Linked DNA regions of Canis lupus familiaris. The protein of the gene in region 2 purifies or fractionates together with the protein of the main gene of each other region. This does not show direct contact. Links are inferred from orthologs where the notes say so. Each region holds a gene or a part of one and is shown on either strand. Other genes may lie near its edges.

Region 1 (3,500 bases), on a different chromosome or scaffold from region 2:
AATAGCTTATCCAAATGGAGGGAGGGAAGAAGCACAGAGATCCTTAGCCAGCTCTTAGTAAATTATTAGACAAAAATTGGCAACAAAAATGAGCTATGACTTCAGATCTTTTCTTTCTTTCTTTTGCGTCCTATCTAGGTAAAAAAAGCCCTCTGTGTGCTTATCCAACATAACCTGGTGATATATCAAGTGCACAAACGTGGTGTAGTGGAGTATGAAGCCCAGTGCAGCCGCGTATTGCGAATGCTTAGGTATCCCCGGTACATCTATACTGCCAAAACACTGTACAGTGACACCGGAGAACTCATTGTTGAGGAGCTGCTATTGAATGGCAAAATGACAATGTCAGCTGTTGTGAAGAAAGTGGCAGACCGGCTCACAGAGACTATGGAGGGTTAGTACTGTACTCATAGCTGTTAGCAAAAGCGTAGATTGGCTGGCTGCAGGACTGGAACTTCAGCTAACTTAGGCAATCTCATCTGCCACTTTCATCCTGTTGTACAGATGGCAAGACCATGGACTATGCTGAGGTATCAAACACATTTGTGCGACTAGCAGACACACACTTTGTACAGCGTTGCCCCTGGGTGCCTGCCACTGAGAATTCAGACCCAGGGCCACTGCCACCTGCCCCCATTCTTGTGATCAGTGAAAAGGACATGTACCTGGTTCCAAAACTGAGCTTGATCGGTAAGGAATTTTGACCCCTGAAACTATGATTTGCCCTGGTTGTGGATTCTTCTTCAAAGATTGTTAAATTAGTGAATGAATCGATCAAGCAGTTACCAAATATTTACTCTATGCCAGATACTGTGGTGTAAAATGAAAAAACAAGTCCCTGACCTTTTGGGGCTTAAGACTAATATAAAAAAGACTTGAGTTACATTACTCAAATAATCAGATAGATGTATAACTAAGAAACTGATTAGTACTATGAATGAAAAGTATGAGATGTTATGAAAATATGTAACAGGGAACCAAATTTTTCAGGATTTAGAGCACACGCTTCTCTGAGAAAGTAGCAGTTGAGCTAAGATTTGAAACAGAAGCAGGAACTAACCAGTGAGGTAATGTATGAAGGAGTACAGAGGATAAATATTTTTACAAAAGGAATAGTGTACAATGAGAAAAAAATAGGATATTTGAGGAAGTAAAAGATGGGTCAGTGTAATTAAGGCATGGTGAGCAAAGAGAGCCATGAGATGAGGATAGAAAGATAGGGGCTAGATCATACAAGACGTTATACAGACAGCATCTGTTCTTTATCCTAAGAGCAAAGGAAAACTACTAAAGGATTTAAAGGAAGTGACATGATCTAATTTGCATTTTTAAAAGATTTTCCTGCTTGTAGATAGGATAGGGCAAAGGTAAAATGTAGACAAACCCAGTGAAAAATTAGATACAGAAAGGGTAAAGGAGACAGAAGTACTAAATGACATTTGTGTGTCTGACTTGCATGTGGGGGGAGGATGAATGGTCCTACTCACTGAAAGGAAGCGTTTGGAACAGGAACAGTTTGAGGTAGAAAGATTAGAACTTTCTTTTTTGAATATGTTGAGCTTCAAATGACTTCATCATTACTTCGAATTTCTTGGAGCTCCTCAGCCTCCCCAGCCACTTTAACCTAGAGGCAGCTGGAGATGTCTTGGGATAGAGGGAAACCTGCTCTCAGATTCAGTGATTTCCTGTCTTCATATGAGATGTAGCATAACTGTTTGCCTGTTTTATTTATCAGGGAAAGGTAAAAGGAGAAGATCATCTGATGAAGATGCTGCTGGGGAGCCCAAGGCCAAGAGACCAAAACACAACACAGATAACAAAGAGGTAATGGGGCTTAGGGGTCCTCACCCTAAGGCAAGGCAGAAAGATAACAAAGGTAACAGGCCCCAAGAGATTTACAAGGTCCTTGATTGAGAAGTAGTAGGATTAGGGATCCCTGGGTAGCACAGCGGTTTAGCACCTGCCTTTGGCCCACGGCGTGATCCTGGAGACCCGGGATCCAATCCCACGTCGGGCTCCGGGTGCATGGAGCCTGCTTTTCCCTCTGCCTATGTCTCTGCCTCTCTCTCTCTTTCTCTCTCTCTCTCTCTCTGTGTGTGACTATCATAAATAAATAAATAAACATTTAAAAAAAAAGATTTATAAAAAAAAAAAAGTAGTAGGATTAGTAGGATTATGAACTTCATTCAATATTGACCAAGAATGAACTAACAAAGTGTAAACTCCATTACTTTCTCCTTTCTGAGGCTTCATCATTAAACAGAGGTCAGATCTTATGCCAAAAAAGGGCCTTCTGTTTTCTCTCTGAAATAAGAGGCAAGGTCATGTGCTGAGAGTGGGAAGAGAGGGGTAAATAGAAAATTTAAGGATACTGGAGAAGAGTTCAGATAGAGAAAGATTAGGTAAATTCAGAGGTGAGTTTAAGGGATGCCTGGGTGGCTCAGTGGTTGAGCGGCTGCCTTTGGCTCAGGGCATGATTCTGGAGTTCTGGGATTGAGTCCTGCATCAGGCTCCCTGCATGGAGCCTGCTTCTCCCTCTGTCTACGTCTCTGCCTCTCTCTCTGTGTCTCTCATGAATGAATGAATGAATGAATGAATGAATGAATAAATAAATAGAGGTGAGTTTAGAGAATCTGAATTGGGTATTGTAAATTTGTGTCATCAAGGCCCTGATCCACATGATTGAATGATTTTTTTTTTTCCACCCCACGTGGTTGCTACTGAATAGGAAAAAAAATAGTGAACAGTTAAATCCAAGCTCCTCGCCAGAAAACTCTTCCCCATATTCACGGTATCTAAATGTTTCTCTCTAATCCTTTTCTCCTCCTCAGCCCATTCCAGATGATGGGATTTATTGGCAGGCCAACCTTGACAGATTCCATCAGCACTTCCGTGACCAAGCCATTGTCAGTGCAGTTGCCAACAGGATGGACCAGGTGGTATCTAAGTGGGTGGGACGGTGTCCCAAATCAGGAGCATTCACTTATTTGCCAGATGTAGCCATTGGCATATAGCCAGAGTCAGCACAGTGGAGTGAATTCTGAATTGTAGTTCACTTTTCAAACCCAGACCAGCAGTGAGATCGTGCGGACTATGCTTCGGATGAGTGAGATTACTACTCCCTCTACTGCCCCCTTCACCCAGCCGTTGTCTTCCAATGAGGTGATCTTCATGTTCTTGTACTACTTTTCTAACAGACTGCGGATGTGATGATTCTTATACACAGAGCCTGGGATTAGGTTGAGATCTGAGCCTTTGAAAGAGTTTTTATTGTTTGAGGTGGGACAGGGATTCTCTTCAAGTGTTAGGTACTGAAATATTGGTCTCTGGGGATCCATCCTTAAAAAACCTAAACCATTCTCCTAGCCAAAGTACAGCTATTCCCAGTTGTTCTAAGAATCCACTATCTGGAATCTGAGAACCTTTGTTGGTACTCAGAACATCATTTGGCTTCTTGTATTGCTTTTGTTCAGTATACTAGTTTTATGTATCTTAAATTT
Region 2 (4,239 bases):
TGCAGGGAGCCCGATGCGGGACTCGATCCCGGGATTCCAGGACCGGGCCCTGGGCCAAAGGCAGGCATCAAACCGCTGAGCCGCCCAGGGATCCCTGGACTTATTTATTATTAAGATATTTATTTATTGGGGCGCCTGAGTGACTCAGTGGTTGAGTGTTTGCCTTCAGCTCAGGTCGTGATCCCCAGGTCCTGGAATGGAGTCCTGCATTGGGCCCCCTGCATGGAGCCTGCTCCTCCCTCTGTCTGTGTCTCTGCCTCTCTGTGTATCTCTCATGAATAAATAAATAAAATCTTAAAAAAAAAGATATTTATTTGTTATTAGAGAGAGCACACGAGCAGGGGGGAGGGGTGGGGAGAAGGAGAGGGAGAAGCCGACTTCACACTGCTCATGTTGAGCAGGGAGCCCAACACAAAGCTCTTTCCCAGGACCCTGAGATCATAACCTGAGCTGAAGTCAGATGCTTAACTGACTGAGCCACCCAGGAGCCTCAATTTATTTAAGTAATTTCTACGCCCAAGGTGTGGCTCGAATCCACAACCTGGAGATCATCCCACACTCCATGGACTGAGCCAGCCAGGTGCTTCAAAGTATCAGACTTTATTATTAATTTAGTGGGAAGGTACTGGGGTTGTTTTTTGGTCCAATTCATGATCACTTTTCTTTTCTTTCTTTTTTTTAAGATTATGTATTTATATATTCATGAGAAACACAGAGAGAAATAGAGGCAGAGACACAGGCAGAAGGAGAAGCAGGCTCCGTACAGGCAGGGAGCCCCATGTGGGACTCGATCCCCAGAGCCCAGGATCACGCCCTCGGCCGGCCCAAGGCAGGCGCTAAACCGCCGAGCCACCACTGAGCCACCCAGGGATCCCCAATGATCATTTTTCAATTGAGATGTAATCTGCCTACTTAAGTGCAACGATCTTAACTGTCAAGTTTGATGCGTTGTTTTTTGTTTTTTGTTTAAGATTTTATTTTTAAGTAACCTCTATGCCCAATGTAGGGCTTGAACTCACAACCCTGTTAACAAGAGCTGCATGCCCTACTGACTGCCAGGCCCCCACCTGTGTAACCCACCCCCCTAGAAGAAGATAGGAAACATTCCTATCACCCCAGAAAGGTCCCGCCTGCTCCTTTCCAGATAAATCTCCCGCTTCCAGGGTCCTGAAGGGGTCTAAGCAAACTGTGCCGGCTTTTGAGAGGATCCCTCTGGCCGGGCGCAGCGCACCGCCCCGCCCGGGACGGAGAGGAAGAGCGACAGCCCCGCCGGGCAGGTGAGGTCGGGATCGCGCCCACGTTGCCTAGCAACCAGGAAGCGCGGTCGAAGGGCGGCCGGCTCCGCGGGGGCCCACGGGGAGGCCCCGCCCTACGTCGCGCCGCGTCGCGTTGGGGGGCGGGCAGAGGCTTCTTATTGGTCTGTTCTCCGGAAGCGACGGGATTCGGAATCTCGCCCGAAGTCGGCTGCGCGTGGGAGCGCGGTGCATGGCGGCGCGTGGCGCGTGGCGGGACCGGGTCGTGCGGCGGGTGCTCGCGCTCTCTCGCTGGAGCGAGGGCGTCTCCTGCTGAGCCTCAGTTTCCTCAGTTTGCAGAGGCTGCACACGCCCCGCACGGGGTACCCGGCGCCGCACCGCGCAGCCCCTCCGCCGGCCTGGGTGTGTGCGTGGGGGGCGCTCAGCGGCGGGGACGCGCCCGAGGGGGTTCGGGAACGCCCACCGCCCCACACGGCGCGTGACTGAGCCTCCCGCCCCCAGGGCCCCGGCGCAGGCGCGATGTTCGTCCTGGTGGAGATGGTGGACACCGTGCGGATCCCCCCGTGGCAGTTTGAGAGGAAGCTCAACGACTCCATTGCCGAGGAGCTGAACAAAAAGTTGGCCAACAAGGTACCGGGGGCCCACGGGGTCGCTGACAGGCCCTGGCACGGGAGGCCCAGCGCTGCCCTCCTGCCCGCTGCAGGCCTCCCCGGTCACGCCAAACCCTGGCCTTGGACAAGTAGCTTAACTTCTCCGAGCTCAGTTACTTCACCTGCACGTGGGATGTTGGAGTCAAAACAGAAACTGGGGAAATGCCAGATTGCACCCTGTTGGATTACCCGCTCTGGGCCTCAGCTTCCATTTGTAAAATGGAAATAATGATGGCTGTCACACACTGTGTCTGTGAAGATGGACAGTGGTTTAGAGTTAACCATCATTAAGGGGCCCCTGGGTGGCTCCGTCCCTGAAGGATCGGCCTTCAGCTCCTGATCGCAGGGTCTTGGGATTGAGCCCCACATTCAGCTCCCTGCTCAGTGAGGTGTCTGCTTCTCCCTCTCCTCCCTGCTCATGCTCTCTTGCGCTGTCTCTGTCTCGCAAATAAATAGAGTTAACCATCAGGAGATTTATTCTTTTCTTTTTTTTTAAGATTTTGTTTATTAATTCATGAGAGACACAGAGGTAGAGGGAGAAGCAGGCTCCATGCAAGGAGCGCACGCGTTCTCTCTCTCTGTTAAATATATCTTTTTTTTTAAGATTTTATTTATTGATTCATGATAGACACAGAAAGAGGCAGAGACACAGGCAGAGGGAGGAGAAGCAGGCTCTATGCAAGGAACCCGATGTGGGACTCGATCCCAGGAATCTGGGATCATGCCCTGAGCCAAAGGCAGACGCTCAACCACTGAGCCACTCAGGTGTCCCAATAAATATATATATTTTTTAAAATGAAGATTTTGGGATGCCTGACTAAACTGCTCAGCAATTTAGCGCCTGCCTTTGGCCCAGGGCGTGATCCTGGAGTCCTGGGATCCAGTCCCACATCGGGCTCCCTGCAGGGAGCTTGCTTCCCCCTCTGCCTGTGTCTCTGCCTCTTTCTCTCTCTCTCTCTTTCTGTGTCTCATGAATAAATAAATAAAATCTTTTTAAAAAATGAAGATTTTATTTATTTGAAAGAGAAAAAGAGAGAGAAAGCACAAGCACGGTGGGGGGCAGAGGGGGAGGGAGAAGCACTCTGCTGAGCAGGGAGCCTGACTTGGGACTCAATCCTAGGACCCTGGGATCATGACCTGAGCTCAAAGCAGATGCTTCACCAACAGAGCTACCCAGGTACCCTGGGGATTCATTTTTGAGAGTGGGAAAGGGCTGTGCAGAGAGAAGAGTTGGGCAGGCAAAGGAAACTGCATGTGTAAAGGCCCTGTGGCAGGAGGGAATATTTCATCCATCATAACCTGGAGGAGGACTGGTGTGGCCTGGAGAGGAAGAGAGGAGAGTAAGCTGGAAAGGTGGCAGGAGCCAAACCACATGGGGCCTGCAGGATGTCATGGCAGTATTGATTTCCATCTGTAGAATAGCAGGAGGTGATAGGCTGAGAAGGAGCAAGAGGAAGGTTGGCTGGCTTTAGACAGGAGGCCAGTCCCTTCTGTAGATAGAGGCTGAGATCATGGAAGGGAGTTGTTTGCAGCTGTTGGTGGAGAGAACTCATGAAGTCCTTAGTGATTGGCTTCCAGTTACGTTGTGAGGTAGAAGGTAGAGGGGGTCAGTGGAGGGATGAAGTGTGAGCATAGTGGTGACAGAAGGTGTGAAAAGTCCAAGAAGGTAAAAAAAGTAAAAAAAAAAAAAAAAAAAAAAAAAAACTGTTTAAAAAAAAGGGGATCCCTGGGTGGCTCAGCGGTTTAGCGCCTGCCTTTGGCCCAGGGTGCGATCCTGGAGTCCCGGGATCGAGTCCCACATCGGGCTCCTGGCATGGAGCCTGCTTCTCCCTCCTCCTGTGTTTCTGCCTCTCTCTCTCTGTGTCTATCATAAATAAATAAATTAAAAAAAAAAAAGCTGTTAAAAGTCCAAGAAGGGAATGTAGCCCTTTGGGGTATGGGTCCTTCAGGGACCTGTTCAGACGAGTCTTTTATATTAGAATCATTTGAGAGGAAGCTGCACAGAAGAGGTCTGTGGTCTGGCCAAGGGCACAGATCTTTTTTTTTTTTTTTTTTTTTAAGATTTTATTTATTTAATTATGAGAGACACACAAAGAGAGGCGGAGACACAGGCAGAGGGAGAAGCAGGCTCCATGCAGGTACCCAATGTGGGACACGATCCCATCCAGGCCTCCCAAGGGCACAGATCTTGTGCAAGGCAGCCAGGCTCTGTGGCTCATTGTGGTGAGGTCCGGCCCGGACTTGGAGTTCTCTGAGCTTCTTGCTAATCCTTGAACAGTCCTGCAGGGTGTGTATTGGGAGGTGATGACACTGGTGGCAGGTAAGCAGGCTGGTGA
Region 3 (3,500 bases), on a different chromosome or scaffold from region 2:
TAAAGTGTCTCTTCTAGTATGTAGTATTTCTCCTCCTCATCCTATCCCACCCCTATTACCTCCTTCAGGGATTTCCATTCAGAGCTGGATCCATCAGGGACACCAGCTACTGACCCCATTAACCTAGGCAGCAGAGGAGCTGAGATTCCCCTAAACTAAAGTTTGTTTGTTTGTTTTTGTTTTTATTTTTATTTTTATTTTTATTTTTGATAGTCACACAGAGAGAGAGAAAGAGAGGCAGAGACACAGGCAGAGGGAGAAGCAGGCTCCATGCACCGGGAGCCCGATGTGGGATTCGATCCCGGGTCTCCAGGATCGCGCCCTGGGCCAAAGGCAGGCGCTATACCGCTGCGCCACCCAGGGATCCCAAAACTAAAGTTTGTTTGAATGCGGATTTCAGCAAATAAGATTTTGATATTCATTTATCAAATGATATTTTTGCCTTAACACTCCTTTATTTATTTATTTTAAAGACTTATTAAGGAGCACCTGGGTGGCTCATGGTTGAGCATCTGCCATTGACTCAGTTTGTGATCCTGGGGTCTTGGGATCAAGTCCCACATCAGGCTTCCCAGAGGGAGCCTGCTTCTCCTTCTGCCTATGTCTCTGCCTCTCTCTGTGTGTCTCTCATCAATAAATAAATAAAATCCTTAAAAATAAATAAAGGTTTTATTTATATTTAGAGAGAGAGAGAGAGCACAAGCACAGGAAGGGGCAGAGGGAGAGAATCTCAAGCCGACTCCATTCTGGACATGGACCCCAGTGCAAGGCTCAGTCTCACAACTCTTAGATCATTACCTGAGCCAAAATCAATAGCTGATGCTTCCAGCTGCACCACCCAGGCATCCCCCCTCCCTTATTTAGAATATTATCTACCCTCTGCATTTTTAATGGATAATTTCAAATATATACAAAAGTAGAAAAAATAATGAGTCCCCACACACTGAACACCTAGCTTCACTTTGCCAATCTTTCATCTCCATCTTTATTTTTAATAACAGCTTTATTGAGATAACTGACATACCAGAAAATTCATCTGTTTAAATTGTATAGTTTGGCAGTTTTTAGTATACTGACAGAGACATGCAACCATCACACTATTCTAATTCACACATTTTCATCACCTCTGAAATGTGACCCCACTAGGAGTCACTCCCCAGCCTTCCTGCCCGTAGGCCCTGACAACCACTGATGTAGTTTCTGTCTCTATAGATCTACGTATTCTGGACATTCCATATAAACTGTATCATACAATATATGGTCTTTTGTATTAGGCTTTTTTTATTCACATGATGTTTTCAAGTTTTCAAACTAAAGTAGTTTTAGATTATAGCCCAGTATAAAATAAATACTCATGAGTCCATATGGAAATGTTTAAATAAATAAATGATTCCAAAAATTCCTTAGTGAAGAGTATAGTAGTTTTGGCTTTTCAGTGGGTGAGACACAAAGAGTTAGCTGGGGTGGCTTAGTCAGGCCAATTTCCACTCAGGGTCACGAGATTAAGCCCTGCATCATACTCCACACTCAGTGAGGAGTCTGCTTGCCCTTGTCCCTCCCTTTGCTTGCTCTTTCTCTCTCTGTCAAAAGTAAATTTAAAAGATCTTTTAAAAAATAAATAAATGACATCTTCCCACGAGTAGATTGAGGCAAAATAGACAAACTTCCTGTGCAGAAGAATTCTAGGTAATTTAGGTGGATGGACACTCTACCCTCAAAGAAGTGGAATATAACTCCCACTCCTTAAGTGTGGGCTGAGCATGGTGATGTCCTTCCACATATGGAAAGACTAGGGAAAAAATGTCAGTTTATGATGGAGAAAACGGAGAAGCACTACTTCAAGCCATCTGATCAAGGTTAACCTCAATACTGAGAAGTCTTATCAGTAGTGATCAGTTATCACTTGGTGATCGAACGCCCTTGACAGGATGTGATGAGAAGGGCACTTCTCCGTGGTCTTTCTCCTAGAGTAGTCATAAGAAAAACATCAGGCAGGTCCCAGTCAAGAGATATCCTATAGAATACCTGACCAGTCATCCTCAGTACTGGCAAGTTATCAAAAGCAAGGAGAGTCTGAGAATTTGCCAATGGAACAGGACAAGTAAGTGTAATATGGTATCCTGAATAGGTTCTTGGACCAGAAAAAGGATATTAGGGAAAAACTAAAGAAACGTCAATGAAGTATAGACTTTAGTTAATAATGATATATCAATATTAGTTCATTAACTGTAATAAATGCAACCTACTAATGTAAGATGTTAAGAGGGGAAACTAAGCACAAGGTAAATGTACCATCTTTACACTAATTGTGTAAATCTAAAACTGCTCTAAAATAAAAGGTTTGAGGGGTGCCTGGGTGGCTCAGTCAGATAAGCATATGAGTCTTGATCTCAGCTCAGGTCATGATGTCAGAGTCATGAGATAGAGCCCAGAGTCAGGTTCCATGCTGGGTGTGGCACTGGTTAAGAGTCTCTTCCTCCCCATCTCCTTGCCCCTCACCCACCCCAGCTCAAAAGAAAGTAAAAAAATATATATATATAAAAAGTTTTGAGAGTTTCTTTAAATCTTAGTTTTGAAAGACTTGGTTACCTTTTTTTTTTTTTTTTAAGATTTTTAAATTTATTTTTACAGAAAGAGCGTGCATGTGCACCAGGGGTAGGGGAGGGGCAGAGGGAGAGAAGGAGACTCTTAGCAGGCTCCACACCCAGCAAGGAGCTAGACGCAGGGCTTGAACTCACAACCCTGAGACCAAGAGTCGAACACTTAACCGACTGAGCCACCCAGGTGCCCCTGCAAGACATGTTTATCTTATAACCACATCTGCTGTTAATGTTTTTTCCTAGGCCTCAAAAAAGAAAGTATATATGCTTTATAACTTGCAGCCGGACCGGTCTGTGACTGGTGGAGCCTGGTACAGTGACCAGGATTTTGAATCAGAATTTGTAGAGGTGCTTAACCAACAGTGTTTTAAATTCCTACAAACCAAGGTGAGGCATAATTAAGGAAACATCACTGCAAATTTTTTTTTAAAGTTACTTCATAAAGAATGTTTAATCTTGTATATCATATTTCACATAGGACATGAAAATACTCAAACCAGTAATTTTCACTAAACAATATATTCTGTTGATTTCACACTATATAAACTGTGTTCAGAAAATGCTAGTGTTCTTATTGAGATATATTTCTACCCTAAAAGGCAGAAACAGCTCGAGAAAGCAAACAGAATCCAATGATACAAAGAAATAGTTCATTTGCCTCATCACATGAAGTGTGGAAGTACATTTGTGAATTGGGGATCAGTAAGGTAAGAGCTCAATTTTTAATTTTCATCTTATTTTTTAAAAGTTACTCTTCATCATAGGGATATAGTTTACAATGTATTCTAAACATATTTGACCCAGACCCCTTTTCCAGGTGATACCTATGAACCTTCTGCAGAACCCATTTAGACAGGTGACTGTCATGCCATCAGGCACTGTGTGATCTGTGTGAACTTA
Region 4 (3,500 bases), on a different chromosome or scaffold from region 2:
CTCCCTATGCCCCTCTCCTCAGCTCCTCCTCTCATGCTCTCTCTCCCTCTCAAACAAATAAATTCTTTTAAAAATACATAACTTATGTAAAAATCTTTATTTTAAAAGTATAATGATTTTGCTGAAATCAGGGCAAGAAAATAAATTTTATGGAATAAATACATATGAATGTTTGTCTTTCTGTATCTTTCTGTATTCATCAATATTACCAACTCATAAACAGTTCTCACTGTGTGCAGTAAGTTAATACCGTCACCTCTGGTATTTTGCTGACTTCCAGTCATTTTAAAAAACAGCTTTACACATGTTTTTTATTTTTATTGTAATGAAGGTATATTTATCATGGTAGGAGGAATGAATTTTTTATTTAATAGTTTTTAGCTTATTTTAATACTTGTAAATATTAAGAAATATGGTCTGTGGGACTTTATTTGTCCTTTGGTGGGCCTAAGAGAAAAGAGTGGTAGTAACATCTACTAATATGGAGCAAACAGGAAATCAGGAAAGTCCTGCAGAGAAGGTAACACGTGATCTGGATGTCTGGTGACAAGTATGTGGCTGGACTGCAGAGCAGTTTAGACAGAGAATGTGGCCTCCACCGTGCATGTAATGGCAGATAGAATGCTGGGGACACCTAGCCCAACTGGGCTCCTGGACTTGCAAAAAGCTAAGACCCAAGAATGTGGTAATCCCACGGGGCACATATTGTCTGGTGAGGTCTTGCAGACATAGGCCAGTAAGCCACCGCCGCAGTCTCCATTAGTATGCTCAGACTCCTAACGCTGAGTACTTTTATTTCAGAGTGCACTTAGCATCTCTACTAAGAGATGGAGTTTAGAGAATGTGAAAGGAGCAGAGTGAAGTGGGCTTTACTCATTCGCATAATGACTCAAAAGAATGATACCAGAAGCCGAACAAAGGTCATTTATCTCTGGTAGTCCACAAAGAGAAAAGTGTTTTCTAGATATGAAAGCTTGCTGAGATTTTCAAGCAGCCCTAGAGGATGAAAGACCTCCATCCAGACTGGCCAGATTCCAGCTGTCCCTCATTCTTAGCACTGACTTGGCGTCTTCAGTCCGCGTCTAGGCTTTCCCTTTATGGCCTGATACTTGATGCTACCGGGGCTGCGGTGCCAGGGCACTGCTGTTCCTGTCTGGCCACCACAGAAGATGGCCCAAGTTGCCCAGGGCCATTGGCTTATTTCATCGCATTTCTTTGCCCTGTGACACACGATCTCACTGTTGTGTCTTCACCATCCTTGTCTTGTGTTTTCCATCTCTCCCAGCATCTCCTCCTCCAGCTACAGATACAGCAGTTTTACTTGTAAATCTGTGCATCGTTGTCCTGTCCTACTCACACCCAGAATCCATTCATTGACCAGATCTCAACTGAGGACCTACCATGTGCCAGACGTAGGGAAAACTAGGGTGAAGAGGACCAGTCTACTGAGCTCTAGGTCAGATATATTGAGGCTCCCTCTCTACGTTCCCCTAAGTAATCCAATATTTCTTTTTCTTTCTTTCTTCTTCTTCTTTTTTTTTTTAGATTTATTTTTTTAGTGGAGAGATGGAGCCAGAGAGCACAAGCAAGGGGAATGAATGGCAGAGGGAGAGGGAGAAGTGGGGCCCCTGACCTGAGCCTAAGGCAGACGCTTAACTGACTGAGCCACCCAGGCACCCTCAATATTTATTTCTAATATATACATACAGGTCTTTATTTGATATACAGGGCCTACTATAAGCCTCTCCAGGGAAAGGCCTTGCTCACCATATAAATCATCATGCAGAGCATGTAAGAGAGATTGGCCAAATTTAACATCATCTTGAGAATTAACTTCTTGTGCTTTCATCTTTTATCTATAAATAATTATTTTCATATCCCAAATGATCTCAATGTCACTCTTGAGTTTTACCTTTAAAAACCTTTCCCACAATTTGAATTTTCTTACCTTTCTGTATAGCTGATAGGCGAACCCAGACAATTTGATGTTTTCTGAAATACAGATGGCCTAAATTTCTTCATCTGTGTCTATGATCAAATTACTGAATAATACAGAACCCATACTTTGTCATATGGTTTCTCCCAATCCACATGGTCACTCCACTGCTAATTACTGCTGAGTGGTTATGAGCCTGTAGGCAGATGTCCAGCAGTGATCTGAGTCATCTGTCCCTGGTTTTTTTTTTTTTAATCAGAATGTTCTGTGGTCTGACATCAAATCCTTACTTAAGATCAAGTAAATTGTTCCATTTTTTTTTCTTCAAAACATCACTCCATGGAAAGACATTGAGTTTTTTTAAAATTTTGCCCAGTGCCCTGCTGTATGTGGATGGCTCGGGGATGAACTGGTGGCCTGCAGCATGGATGATGATACGCTGGGTCTGGCAGGGGCCTCCTGGTCAGCAGCAGCCTGTCATTGCACTCCTTTGTGCCCAATTTCCAAGTCAGTGCTTGTCACCAAGTTATACTTGTTTAAACACAAGACCCTCAGCCTGTCTTCCATGACTTAATTGCCATATTTGAACCGCTTTTCCCATCCATGATGTGACAGATACTGTACATTTAGTTGGTCAAAGGTAACTTTTTTTTAGTAATTTTTTTTAAAGATTTTATTTATTTATTCATGACAGACACAGAGAGAAGGCAGAGACATAGGCAGAGGGAGAAGCAGGCTCCTCACAGGGAGCCCGATGTGGGAACTGATCCCAAAACTGCGGGATCATGCCCTGAGCCAAAGGCTGATGCTCAGCCGCTGAGCCACCCAGGTGTCCCATCTTTTCTTTCTTCTTCCTTTCTTCCTTCTTCCTTCCTTCCTTCCTTCCTTCCTTCCTTCCTTCAAGAAGGAAGGCCTGGACGGTATTTCAGGGAGTGGGGATGGGGAGGGCGTGCTTCGGTAGGGATTTAGGGTGGCTTTATTTAGGTTCTTTCTTCTTTTTTGTTTCGTTCTTTGTGGTGTTCTTTTTCTTTCTTGCTTCTTTCTTTCTTTCTTTCTTTCACTATAATTATACATATAGAAAAGTGCACAAATCCTAAGCATGCAGCCTGATAAGTAGTCAAGTGAATGTACCTATGAAACCAGCACTTCAATCACAAAACGGAACATTAGCACCACAGCAGCTGCCTTGTACTAATTCATCAGACTCTGTCTTTTTTCCCCTCTGTGTCTTTTTTGTACAACTATTTGACGTGTAGCTTTTCTGATTTGATTCTTTGAAAGATCTCATTTTCTCATGTTCTCCATTATTTAATTTGCCAATTCTCAATTTGTGGTTTGATTTCAGGTACATTGGTTTTCATGCTACCCTTTCTGTATACTGATGGAGCCAGTTAGCTCTCGGTTGATTTCTGTGAGTAAAAAGAAACATAAGACCCAGATGACTCCAAACTAATTTGCTTGACTCTGGAATTTAAGATGATTTTGACCAGATTTGCATTCCCACTTGGGTTCTATTTCAGCTGCTATTATCATCCGTTAACATTCCTTCAGCATGTACCAGCTG
Region 5 (2,260 bases), on a different chromosome or scaffold from region 2:
GCAGGAATCTTCAGTTAGAAAAAGCTCAGGTGGGCTGCAGTCCAGGTATGTGTGCATGCTAGCCAGACCATGTGACCCCCTGACTCTTCCCTGGTAGTTCATCGATGACCCTGGGCTGAGGAATGACACTCGAAACATGCCTGTGCAGCTGCCGCTGGCTCACTCAGGGTGGCTCTTTAAGGAAGAGAATGAAGAGCCAGATGTTAAACCTTGGCTGGCTGGCCCCAAGGAAGAGGACATGGAGGTGGATGTACCTGTTGTGAAAGGTACTCTGTCCATTAACGTCTCCTCTCCTTCCCTGTGGCTGCCCCCCAGGAATCCTCTCTAGGAATGAATCTCCCAGACTCATAAGCGGGTCCTCCCCCATTCCAGTTGTGAAGTACATGACCTGAACAGGGACACTAAATTCTCATTCTCAGAAAGTTCATGCTGACATGGATCCGTGGGCCTAGCCTCAGATACTCCTTTTTGATAAGCCACACAACTCCTGGACCCTTCTTCATACCAGTGCTTCCCTCCTGCTTCATGGTTGAGTGACAATGAAGCAGATGGGAATGAAGGGATGGGTACTGCAAGATGGCTACTTCATAGCTCTTCCATTTATGTTTCCTTGGGCAGTGAAAGAGGAGCCCCGAGATGAGGAGGAGGAGGCCAAGATGAAGGCTCCTCCCAGAACAGCCAGAAAGACCCCGGGCCTCCCAAAGGACATATCTGTGGCAGAGTTGCTCAGGGAGCTGAGCCTGACCCAGGAGGAAGAGCTGCTATTCCTTCAACTGCCAGACACGCTCCCTGGCCAGCCACCTACTCAGGACATCAAGCCTATCAAGACAGAGGTGCAGACTGAGGATGGGCAGATGGTGGTCATAAAGCAGGAGAAAGACCGGGTATGTGCATGGATGAGTTCTGTGGAAGCACTGAGGGGGCCAGGAAAGGAAACAGCCATCTGTTGCGGAGCAAAGGGGTGCCACCCAAGCTGAAATGCCAGAATAATACGCATTCATTCCACCCACAAGGTGCTTGAGGCTTTGTACTTCAACCCCTGTTACGTATTTTTACTTTTTACAATGAAATATTTAGTGTATACACAGATGAGAGAACATGAATTCTCATGTACCATCACTCAGCGTCAGCAGTAATAAATATTTTGTCTATTTGTCCATTTGTTTGCTTTGGGTTTTGTTGTTTGGCCAATGGCAGGCAACTGTGAAGAAAGGCCCTCTTAGGGAGCTCATTCTAATCTTTGCTGCTGACCTCTTCCTTTGGAAACGGTATCATTCATGCAGGCTGGAGGAAGAAGCTCCTTATCTTGTTTCCATCTTCTGATTCTCTTCGCAGGAAGCCAGGCTGGCAGAGAATGCTTGTACCCTGGCTGACTTGACAGAGGGTCAGGTTGGCAAGCTGCTCATCCGCAAGTCAGGAAAGGTGCAGCTCCTCCTGGGCAAGGTGACTCTAGATGTGACGATGGGAACCGCCTGCTCCTTCCTGCAGGTGAGAGCCTGTGGGGTCATGGTAGGGGCTCTTTAAGAGGTAAGGAGTGCTGAGGAGTCCATGCTAACTAAGGGAGAAGCATTCTTGGGATTCTCCTAAATCATAGGGCTGAGGAATGGGCTGTATGGTTTTGGTTCTCATTGCTGTTTCTGTTGATTGGCAGGAGCTGGTATCCGTGGGCCTTGGCGACAGTAGGACCGGTGAGATGACAGTCCTGGGACACATAAAGCACAAACTTGTATGTTCCCCTGATTTTGAGTCCCTCTTGGATCACAAACACCGGTAAAATGAGCAGATGGAGGATGATGGTGACTGTGCCCACGGCTGCCTGCTCCAGACGTTTTGTTCTCAAATCTGTGCGACCCAGAAGGGGCCTGTTTAGCCCACCCACTCCAGCCTTTGGCAGCCATTGTCCCAGTTTTCCCCACAGGGCCCACATGGCTTCCTCCCACGGCAGCTGTGAATGGCACCGTGGCCTTCCCACAGCATGGATCCTGCACATCCTTGCTGCTGGGGGACTTGTCCCTTCTATTTATTTTTATATTTATGTCTTATCTCTTCGAGTGACTGCACCCTCCCCAGGTAGAGAGGGGAGGGTCTATGGAAAAGTCCAGGCTCCTCCTGTCTTGCTGACTGTCTTGTTCTCAGGGTAGGAAGCGTAAGGACTGCTGCTGCTTTTACTCCTTCCTCTTTCCCAAGAAGCAGTGTTGGAGAGAGAGCTGGGAATTTTGAGTCTGGGACTCAGTGCTCAATCCCAGCTCCATCAGTTACT
Region 6 (4,216 bases), on a different chromosome or scaffold from region 2:
TCTCCTAAATCCTGGAAATTTCTTGAAAGTAGATTTTATTTAAAAAGGCAGAAATGGGGATCCCTGGGTGGCCCAGCGGTTGAGCACCTGCCTTCAGTCCAGGGCGTGACCCTGGGGTCCCGGGATCGAGTCCCTGCACCGGGCTCCCTGCATTGGAGCTTGCTTCTCCATCTGCCTGTGTCTCTGCCTCTCTAACTCTCAAGAATAAATAAATGTTAAAAAAAAAAGGAAAAAAAAAAAAAAAAGCCAGGTATGTCTTAAGAGATACTCATCTTAGTGTTCCAAAATTTCGAATGGTGCCGCAACATCCGTACAAGAAGTTTGAAACCAATTTCCTAACACTTTGAAATGTAAAGCCTAGTTGATTTTATTTAATAAAAACACCTTACCTATTTGCCTGTGTTTTGCTTTCTAAAAACCTACCACAAAACCGTCAAGAGACAGACGATCAGAAGATGACCAGGAGACCTATAGTAATAAACAGAGCGGGGGGACAACCTTTCACAAGACACCTGACTTCGCGCGAACAGGGACCCCAGTCCCCGCGGTCACCTTCTCTGGACGGCCAGGTCAACAGCAGGACCCGCCACGGGGTCGAGGCAGGGCTGCCACCATCATCTCCCAACCCAAAGCCGCACCTGTTCAGAAAGGCGTAACCACCTTTTTTTTTTTTTTTTTTTTTTTTTTTTTTAAGGTGCAACGTGTAAAAACATCTAGGTGCTGCTGCTGCTGGGGGCAACGAACGGGGTTAGAGATTGGAAGTCAATGAAAGGTAAACAAAACTAAAAAAAAATTTTTTTTTGAGAAATCAATTAAAGTCATTTATATGGGTCGCCCGTTATATCTTAAAGCAGGGCCCCAGGATAAGAGCAAGGAAGAGTTTAAAGCTCTTTCCAAAATTTATAGCTCGGTCTGACGGCTGCAGGGGCTGCAGGGGCTGCAGGGGCTGCAGGGGCTGCAGGGGCTGCAGGGGCTGCAGGGGCTGCAGGGGCTGCAGGGGCTGCAGGGGCTGCAGGGGCCGGAGACCCGGAGGGCGGAGCTGAACCCAGGGAGGCTCCCCGGCCTGACTTCGCGGAGAAACACCGCGAGAAGAAGCATCGCGATATTTCACTCCCTCCTCCCAACTAGAAACCCATCTCCTCGGTGGTGCAAAGCCCGACGCGCTGATACAGACGCTAACTACCTCGGCACAAATGCACGGGACTCCTCACCTGCGGAGCACCAGGGCCCCCAGGGTGAGGAATCCGAGCCAGGAAGGCTGGCCGAGGCTCCTCGCCCTCATCCCAAAATGCATCCCCTTCCAGCTCGCCTCGGCCCAGCTACCTCCCTTCTACACACGCCAGCCCTGGGGCCCGCTGCGAGGTGTGGAGGGCATTGCGGCCTCCTCATTACCGACCTCAGAGCTAAACTCATTTTCTCTTCGGACAGAGACGTTCCCCTCGAGAACGACTTTAACGCCCTGCCCAAGGCAGCACGACTTCCACAAGCCGTTCAACAGACACCAACGACCTCAGCGGCCTCAAGGACCTCCCACAAGGTAGACGCTTCGGAGTCGGATTGGTTGACGTTGCTAACAGCCCGCCCATTGAGGCGGAAGCGTCCCTGGTCCTCTGCTCTCATTGGGCGTGCTTCGCGTCAATCAAAGAAGCCGCTCGTCCCTCTTCTTCTGCCCCTCCTCCCCGCCCTTTATTGGCTTGTTGAGGTTTCCCGGAATCCTTTGCGGAGCGAGGGTCCAGGTGTCTGCGTGGTAGTTTGGGCGGTAGGTGGCTGCACCTTGCCTCCCGCTGGGTGACCGCCGACGAGATGGACGGCTCCGGGGGAGAAGGGAGGGAGGGAGGAGAGGCGCGCCGCGGGGCCAGCCTCCTTAGCCGAAGGGAGGGAGCGGCTGGGGAATGAGGCCTGCCGAATTTGACTGCGCTGTGTTCTAAAACCTTGGGTGGCCTGAGTCCATGGGGAGTTTGTTTAAAACGCAGATTTAAACGTCCCGTCCTCCCAATTCTGATTTTAGTAGGTATGAATTTGCATTTTTTTCCCCCTTACAATCCCACGTGCTTTTAAGGCAGGTGCTGTCGCTTATAGATTGTATATCTAATGGGTTGGATTATTAGGCTACTTACGGTAAAGCGGCACTTGACGGTACCTTAGCTCCCTTCTCCCTCCCTGAAGGGATCTGTTCTCTTGCATCCTTTGTTTTACAGGGTTGGAAGCTGCTTATACACGTTATATTATCTTAAGCTCCAAACTAAGTTCTTGAAGCTCACCTGGGTAATTTGTTTACTTGTTCATCACTCCTACTAGGCTTTCTTCAAGTGCAGGATGGTATCTTTCATTTAACGCGGATCCCAGTGCCTGATACGGTGCCTGATGCACAGGCGCTCAATGAATATTTGTTGCGTTGGGTGGGATCTTGCTGTGAAAACCCACAAATCACTGAACTAAGTTGTAACCCTTATAAAGGAGTGAAATAGCCTGAATATGGCGTTGAGGCAGGGTAAGGGGGAAGATGTATAAACACTATGGGCTATGTATAAAGGATATATATATATATATATATATATCCTCAACATATATATGTTTATATATGTTTTTATATATGTTTATATATAAATATGTTTATACGTATAAACATGTTTATATATTTAATACACATGTTTATGTTGGGATCCCTGGGTGGCGCAGCGGTTTGGCGCCTGCCTTTGGCCCAGGGCACGATCCTGGAGACCCGGGATCGAATCCCATGTCGGGCTCCCGGTGCATGGAGCCTGCTTCTCCCTCTGCCTATGTCTCTGCCTCTCTCTGTGTGTGACTATCATAAATAAATAAATATATATATATATGTTTATGTATATATTTATATATGTGTTTAGGTATATATTTTTATTATATAAACATATATATATATATATGTTTAAAGAAGGGAGAGAACCAGTAGGACAGAAGAAAGTCTTCTTGAAGGATTTGGCCTATATGTTAGGCTTAGAAGGATGAACTAAATTTGGACAGGTAAAACTAGTATGATGGTGTAACTCTAAAAATTAAAGGTTAAAGGAAACCCCCCCCCAAAAAAAAAAAAAAACAAAATTAGAACACCTAACCTTTTAAAGTATTTCTATAAATCACTGTTGACTCGAAAAGGAAAGGTAATATTGCCACTAATACGGTTTTTGGTAGTTTAAAAGGAAGGTTGGGGCACCTGGCTGGATAAGTCTGTAGGGCATGCATCTCTCGATATCTGGGTTGTGAGTTCAAGCCCCACGTTGGGCATAAAGCTTATTTTAAAAAAATAACAAGAGGGAGGTTTACAAATTATTAAAGTACTTTATACGACTTCATGCTGCCAATGAATTTTAATATTGAAATGAAATAGTCACTTTCCAAGGGAAACAGATGACTCAAAAAAGATAGAAAACTGAATTAGGTCGATAACTATAGATAGAACTGAATGATAGGATGATGCCACAATTCCATGCTGTAAAATAAAAAGGCGTCCAACCCACTCAGAGTTCTGGGTGAGTTTAAAAATTCATGAGGAGCAGGCGCCTGGCTGGCTCAGTTGCAGGAGCATGCAACTCTTGATCTTGGGGTCGTGGATTCAAGCCCCACGTTGGCTGTAGAGATTACTTAAATAAAAAAGAAAAAAACACCAAACAACTTTGAATTCATAAAAATTCCCAAGGAACTAATTCTGGTGCTTTAAATTCAAAGTATGATGAAGAACTTAAATTTTGAAGCTTGCACAGAGAACATTTAAAGCATTTAATATCACTGACTGTATGCTCCATGATAAGAGGGTACATGTTGGGATGCCCGGGTGGCTTAGCAGTTAAGCGCCTGCTTTCGGCCCAGGTCGTGATCCTGGAGACTCAGGATTCAAGTCCCATGTCAGGCTTCCTGCATGGAGCCTGCTTCTCCCTCTGCCTGTGTCTCTGTCTCTGTCTCTGTCTCTCTCTTTCTCATGAATAAATAAACAAAATTTAAAAAAAGAGGGTGCATGTTACTCACCATTTTATAAGCTCATGTTTCATGTTCGCTATGAACATATGTGCAAAAATTTTAGATGTTGACAAAATCAATTTGGGATTGTCTTAAGGGAACATTTCACTATAACCAAATAGAGTTTATTTTTAAAATGCAAAGGGATGATTCAAAATACAAATCTGTATTAATTAATCATAATTCTGGATTAAGGAGATTAGCTAAACATCCAAAAAGAGAC
Region 7 (4,057 bases), on a different chromosome or scaffold from region 2:
ACAATCAAGGGACTCAGGGAAGGCAGGGAGCGAGAGGGCTGGCAGGAAGAGGTCAAAGGAGAGGGAGCAGCTGTAGGAATGTCAGAAGAAGGGCGTATCCACCAGAGGGTGCAATGTGTGCAAAGGCCCTGGGGCTGCACTTTGCCTGCTGCGTTGGCTGCAGGAGGCCCCGGGGGAGGGGGGAGGGGAGGTCAGAGGCTGTCGTGGGGCAAGCCTGGGGCACACCTGGGAGGCCTCGTTGATTGCCTTGAAAAGCCGGGGTTTTCCTTTGCTGTTGCTGCATTTCAGCTGAGAGATGGGGGAGGGGGAGAGGAGGGAGAGGGCCACAGATGGGGGCTCACGTCGGCGCCTGCAGTTCTGAAGGTGGAGGGTTTGCAGTCGGACAGGATGGACAGGATGTGGAGAAGGGGCAGGACGGAGGAGCGGAGCTGCCGGCCCAGGGCGGACAGACTAGGGAGAAACGGGTGTAGACGGCAGATAAGAAAAAACGGGCTGGCGGAGGGGGTGCCTGGGGGGCTCCGTTGCTTAGGCTTTTTTTTTTAATTCTCGAGAGACAGAGACAGAGAGACAGAGAGAGAAAGAGAGAGAGAGAGAGGCAGAGACACAGGCAGAGGGAGAAGCAGGCTCCACGCAGGGAGCCCGACGTGGGACTCCAGGTCTCCAGGGTCACGCCCTGGGCTGCAGGCGGTGCTAAACCGCTGAGCCACCCGGGCTGCCTTTCTTTTTTTTTTTTTTTTTTTTAAGACTATTTACTCCTGAGAACCGCTGGGGGAGAGGCAGGCTCCTGCGGGACCCGATGCGGGACTCGAGCCCACGATGCGGGGATCACACCCCGAGCGGACGCTCAGCCACGGAGCCACCCGGGCGACCCGAGGCTGCTGCGCAGTAAGGCGGCGGCGACGCCCAGCAGCGGGATGCGTACCTGGTGGGGGGCCTGACAACATGCCCTGCGCCCCGGGGAGGCGAGCTGACCGCTGACCCCACCCTGGCCTCAGTTTCCCCGCCCACACCTCGCCTCCGCCCTTCCGGATTCCAAACTCCCCACCCACACGGGCATCGGGCGGAAACCACAACTCCCGACAGGCCCCGCGGCCGAAACCCCGCGACAACTGCCGAGGCGAGAGTGGGCGGTCCCGTTCGCTCGGCTCTGGCTCCGCCCACCGCCGCTCGCAGAAGGCCCGGGCTGCCCTCGGCGCTGCCGCCCGCGAAGGTCTCTGGAGTCCGGCGTTCGCTGTGGGCAGCCCCGCGCGGGGCTTGGCAGGGCTCGGCGCAGGCGCAGTCAGCGCGGGCCCCTGCCGCGGGCTCAGGCGCGCGGGTTGCGAGCGGCGGCCGCCATGGACGACGAGGAGGAGACGTACCGGCTGTGGAAGATCCGCAAGACCATCATGCAGGTGAGCCCGCGCGGTCAGGGCGGCGGCGGGCGCAGCTCGGAGCTTCCGGGCGCGCTCGGCGGGTGCGTCCCGGCCTCTGCGGCCCCTTCCTGTGCGGTCCCCACGCGCTCGGAGGCGCCGGGCCGCGGCCCTGTCCGTCCTTCTCCGCGGTGACGTCATCCGGCCGCGCCCCTCCCGCCCCGCCCTCTGAGCCCGGGGGTCACCCGGCTGGTGCTCCCTGCAGCTGTGCCACGACCGCGGCTACCTGGTGACGCAGGATGAGCTGGACCAGACGCTGGAAGAGTTCAAGGCCCAGTTTGGGGACAAGCCGAGCGAGGGGCGGCCCCGGCGCACGGACCTCACGGTGCTGGTGGCCCACAACGACGACCCCACCGACCAGATGTTTGTCTTCTTTCCAGGTGAGGGTCGCGTGGGTCCTGGGTGGCTGCGTGACCCCTAGGAGTCCGCAGCCCTCGTGCAGCCATCCAGGGACGGTGTCTACACCCGCCCTCCCGAGTGCCCAGCCTGCTGCGCACGGTGCCACGGGGTGCTGATGGGAGCCCTGGGTTCTGTTCCCCGCTGACTGTTCGTTCAGTGCAGCCGGATTGTCGCAGGCCTCCCGGGGGGCCCAGCCCCCTGCCCAGAAGCAAGGGCGTCGGAAACCTTTGCAGGAGGGACCCTCCTGGTGCTCGTGCAAACAGCGTCCCCGTGTGTGGGTCGGCCTGTGGCAGGGCCCTCCCTGGAGTGGGCCCGGGGCGCCCGTGTGCTCCAGTGGGCCACAGAATGGGACTGAGCGGCCGTGCTGGTCCACCTGGACCGCCGCGACTGGGCGCCGCAGACCGGGCGGCTTCAGCAGCAGCCTGACCTCTTCCGGGGCTGCAGGCAGGACGTCTGAGACCAGGGTGTGCACGGGGCTGGGTCCCCCTGAGGCCTCTCCCTGGCGTGCCGGTGGCCGTCTTCTCCATGAGTTCCCGAGGTCGTGCCTCTGTGTGTCTGTGCTGTTGTGTCTGACTGAGGTCCATCCTGACAACCTGGTGGAATCTCCTCTTTAAAGACCTCAGTTCCAAGTACGGTTGCACCCGAGGTCTCGGGGGTTAGGATTGTAACACGGGGATTCCGTGGGAAACAGCTCAGTCCCTGACGCTGCCCGTCAGGTGAGCAAGGGTCCGAGGGGAGTGCTGTGATGGGGCAGATGTGGTGCACCACACGCACCCGTCCTGGCAGCAGGCACCCAGTTGCTCACCTTCCACCAGGCTCAGAGGGTCCCGCAGGTCTTGGCCCCTGTACTGTGGTGAGCGTGAGGGTTCCCACCGTGGCTGTGCAGGGAGGGGGTTTGGTCCTTCAGGTCAGCTGCTTCATCTGGGGATTCCAGACATTGCACCACGTAGGTCCCCAGATTCAGCTTCCAGGGAGGGATCCACCAAGTGGGTAGATGCAGGGCACCCATCAGCTCCGTGGGGGCTGGGGGGGAGGACTGGCACCCTGGTGGGTTCCCTGGGGCCCTAGAAAGAGGGAGCTGGTCCAGAGAGGCACTGCTACACCTTGGCAAGGTCAAGCTGGAGCCCGCGCGCCTAGCAGGGTGGAAGTGAACGAGCAGGTGAGTGAGCAGGGCCCTTGGGGCAGGAGGGACTCTTGCAGTGTAGACCTCGTGTGTTCTGTCCCCAGAGGAGCCTAAAGTGGGAATCAAGACCATCAAGGTGTATTGCCAGCGGATGCAGGAGGAGAACATCACCCGGGCCCTCATTGTGGTACAGCAGGGCATGACTCCCTCCGCCAAGCAGGTGGGCACGCTGCTCGTGTTGGCCGCACGTCCTCATGGGCCCCAGGATCTGGGGATCTGAGAAGGAGCGGCTCTCCCGTGTGGGCAGAAGCCAGAGCAGGGAGGTGCCCTGCATGGGTGCCAGCATTCCTGTGGTTAACAGGTCCGAGGAGGGGCTGCTGTTTGGGACGGAGGGCCAGCTCTGTGCGCTCGTCCCTGCAGGGTTCTCTACGTCACACCAGCACAGGGACAACTGCAGGAGCATTTTGTTAGGTGTCACAGTTTGTGTCGGGTGGTCTCTTCCTCCCAGAGGAGCCTTACTGACCTGACACGTGGGAACCCCCTTTGGCTCCCACCTGCCCTCAGCCCCTGGGAGAGGTGGGGTGGCGGCGTCTTGGGCCTTGGCTGTGCGTGAGGGTCAGCCTCTCTTTCAGTCCCTGGTTGACATGGCCCCCAAGTACATCCTGGAGCAGTTTCTGCAGCAGGAGCTACTCATCAACATCACGGAGCACGAGGTGAGGGCCTTAGTGGGGGTCTGCGGGAGGGGAGGCTGGACGGCTGGTGAGGTGGCACCTGCCCGAGCACAGGGAGGGCCTGGGGACGCACCAGGTGCCGCTGCTCCCACTTTGTGGGGAGGAGGAAGCAGAGCCGGAGTCTCAGTGAGGCCCTGGGCACTTGCCAGGTGTGCAGTCAGGCAGCTGGGGGGCAGGGGGTGGGGTCTGTCCAGGGGCCCCTGCACTCTCCAGGTTATACCCCCCCAGGCGCCTGCAGGCCATAGCTCCTTCCCCCCAGGCGTGGAGTCAGGAGCAGGGTGGGGTGGCAGCTGGGACCCTTGGGTGGATGGTTGACTCCAAGGAAACAGCCTGTGGCGCTCTGCTCCCCTTTCCCGTGTGGGGGCGCCGTGGGGCCTGTCACACCCACAGACTCA

The links.
Region 1: the proteins of POLR3H (region 2) and POLR3C purify together in Homo sapiens (affinity purification with mass spectrometry; 5 studies listed by BioGRID and IntAct, with this or other methods). This does not show direct contact. The link is inferred for Canis lupus familiaris from reciprocal best matches to the Homo sapiens genes POLR3H and POLR3C.
Region 3: the proteins of POLR3H (region 2) and POLR3F purify together in Homo sapiens (affinity purification with mass spectrometry; 4 studies listed by BioGRID and IntAct, with this or other methods). This does not show direct contact. The link is inferred for Canis lupus familiaris from reciprocal best matches to the Homo sapiens genes POLR3H and POLR3F.
Region 4: the proteins of POLR3H (region 2) and POLR1D purify together in Homo sapiens (affinity purification with mass spectrometry; 6 studies listed by BioGRID and IntAct, with this or other methods). This does not show direct contact. The link is inferred for Canis lupus familiaris from reciprocal best matches to the Homo sapiens genes POLR3H and POLR1D.
Region 5: the proteins of POLR3H (region 2) and POLR3D purify together in Homo sapiens (affinity purification with mass spectrometry; 6 studies listed by BioGRID and IntAct, counting the BioPlex papers as one, with this or other methods). This does not show direct contact. The link is inferred for Canis lupus familiaris from reciprocal best matches to the Homo sapiens genes POLR3H and POLR3D.
Region 6: the proteins of POLR3H (region 2) and POLR3G purify together in Homo sapiens (affinity purification with mass spectrometry; 5 studies listed by BioGRID and IntAct, with this or other methods). This does not show direct contact. The link is inferred for Canis lupus familiaris from reciprocal best matches to the Homo sapiens genes POLR3H and POLR3G.
Region 7: the proteins of POLR3H (region 2) and POLR2E purify together in Homo sapiens (affinity purification with mass spectrometry; 6 studies listed by BioGRID and IntAct, counting the BioPlex papers as one, with this or other methods). This does not show direct contact. The link is inferred for Canis lupus familiaris from reciprocal best matches to the Homo sapiens genes POLR3H and POLR2E.

What each region holds. Positions count from the first base shown.
Region 1 is NC_049238.1:59,294,372-59,297,871, forward strand, and holds part of POLR3C (DNA-directed RNA polymerase III subunit RPC3), read left to right. Parts: intron 1-138; coding exon 139-394; intron 395-504; coding exon 505-690; intron 691-1,735; coding exon 1,736-1,824; intron 1,825-2,831; coding exon 2,832-2,936; intron 2,937-3,069; coding exon 3,070-3,162; intron 3,163-3,500. UniProt on the Homo sapiens protein: DNA-dependent RNA polymerase catalyzes the transcription of DNA into RNA using the four ribonucleoside triphosphates as substrates.
Region 2 is NC_049231.1:24,684,225-24,688,463, forward strand, and holds the start of POLR3H (DNA-directed RNA polymerase III subunit RPC8), read left to right. Parts: upstream 1-1,439; 5' UTR 1,440-1,655; intron 1,656-1,754; 5' UTR 1,755-1,772; coding exon 1,773-1,883; intron 1,884-4,239.
Region 3 is NC_049245.1:5,108,282-5,111,781, reverse strand, and holds part of POLR3F (DNA-directed RNA polymerase III subunit RPC6), read left to right. Parts: intron 1-2,843; coding exon 2,844-2,987; intron 2,988-3,199; coding exon 3,200-3,307; intron 3,308-3,500. UniProt on the Homo sapiens protein: DNA-dependent RNA polymerase catalyzes the transcription of DNA into RNA using the four ribonucleoside triphosphates as substrates.
Region 4 is NC_049246.1:12,035,176-12,038,675, reverse strand, and holds part of POLR1D (protein POLR1D), read left to right. Parts: intron 1-1,285; coding exon 1,286-1,456; intron 1,457-3,500.
Region 5 is NC_049246.1:35,178,361-35,180,620, reverse strand, and holds part of POLR3D (DNA-directed RNA polymerase III subunit RPC4), read left to right. Parts: intron 1-97; coding exon 98-266; intron 267-618; coding exon 619-884; intron 885-1,335; coding exon 1,336-1,488; intron 1,489-1,651; coding exon 1,652-1,774; 3' UTR 1,775-2,260. UniProt on the Homo sapiens protein: DNA-dependent RNA polymerase catalyzes the transcription of DNA into RNA using the four ribonucleoside triphosphates as substrates.
Region 6 is NC_049224.1:18,660,493-18,664,708, reverse strand, and holds the start of POLR3G (DNA-directed RNA polymerase III subunit RPC7), read left to right. Parts: upstream 1-1,416; 5' UTR 1,417-1,537; exon of another isoform or gene 1,538-1,553; intron 1,554-4,216. Other genes in the region: CETN3 (centrin-3), read right to left, coding at 1,397-1,413. UniProt on the Homo sapiens protein: DNA-dependent RNA polymerase catalyzes the transcription of DNA into RNA using the four ribonucleoside triphosphates as substrates.
Region 7 is NC_049241.1:58,128,573-58,132,629, forward strand, and holds the start of POLR2E (DNA-directed RNA polymerases I, II, and III subunit RPABC1), read left to right. Parts: upstream 1-1,257; 5' UTR 1,258-1,334; coding exon 1,335-1,391; intron 1,392-1,614; coding exon 1,615-1,789; intron 1,790-3,035; coding exon 3,036-3,151; intron 3,152-3,563; coding exon 3,564-3,644; intron 3,645-4,057. UniProt on the Homo sapiens protein: DNA-dependent RNA polymerase catalyzes the transcription of DNA into RNA using the four ribonucleoside triphosphates as substrates.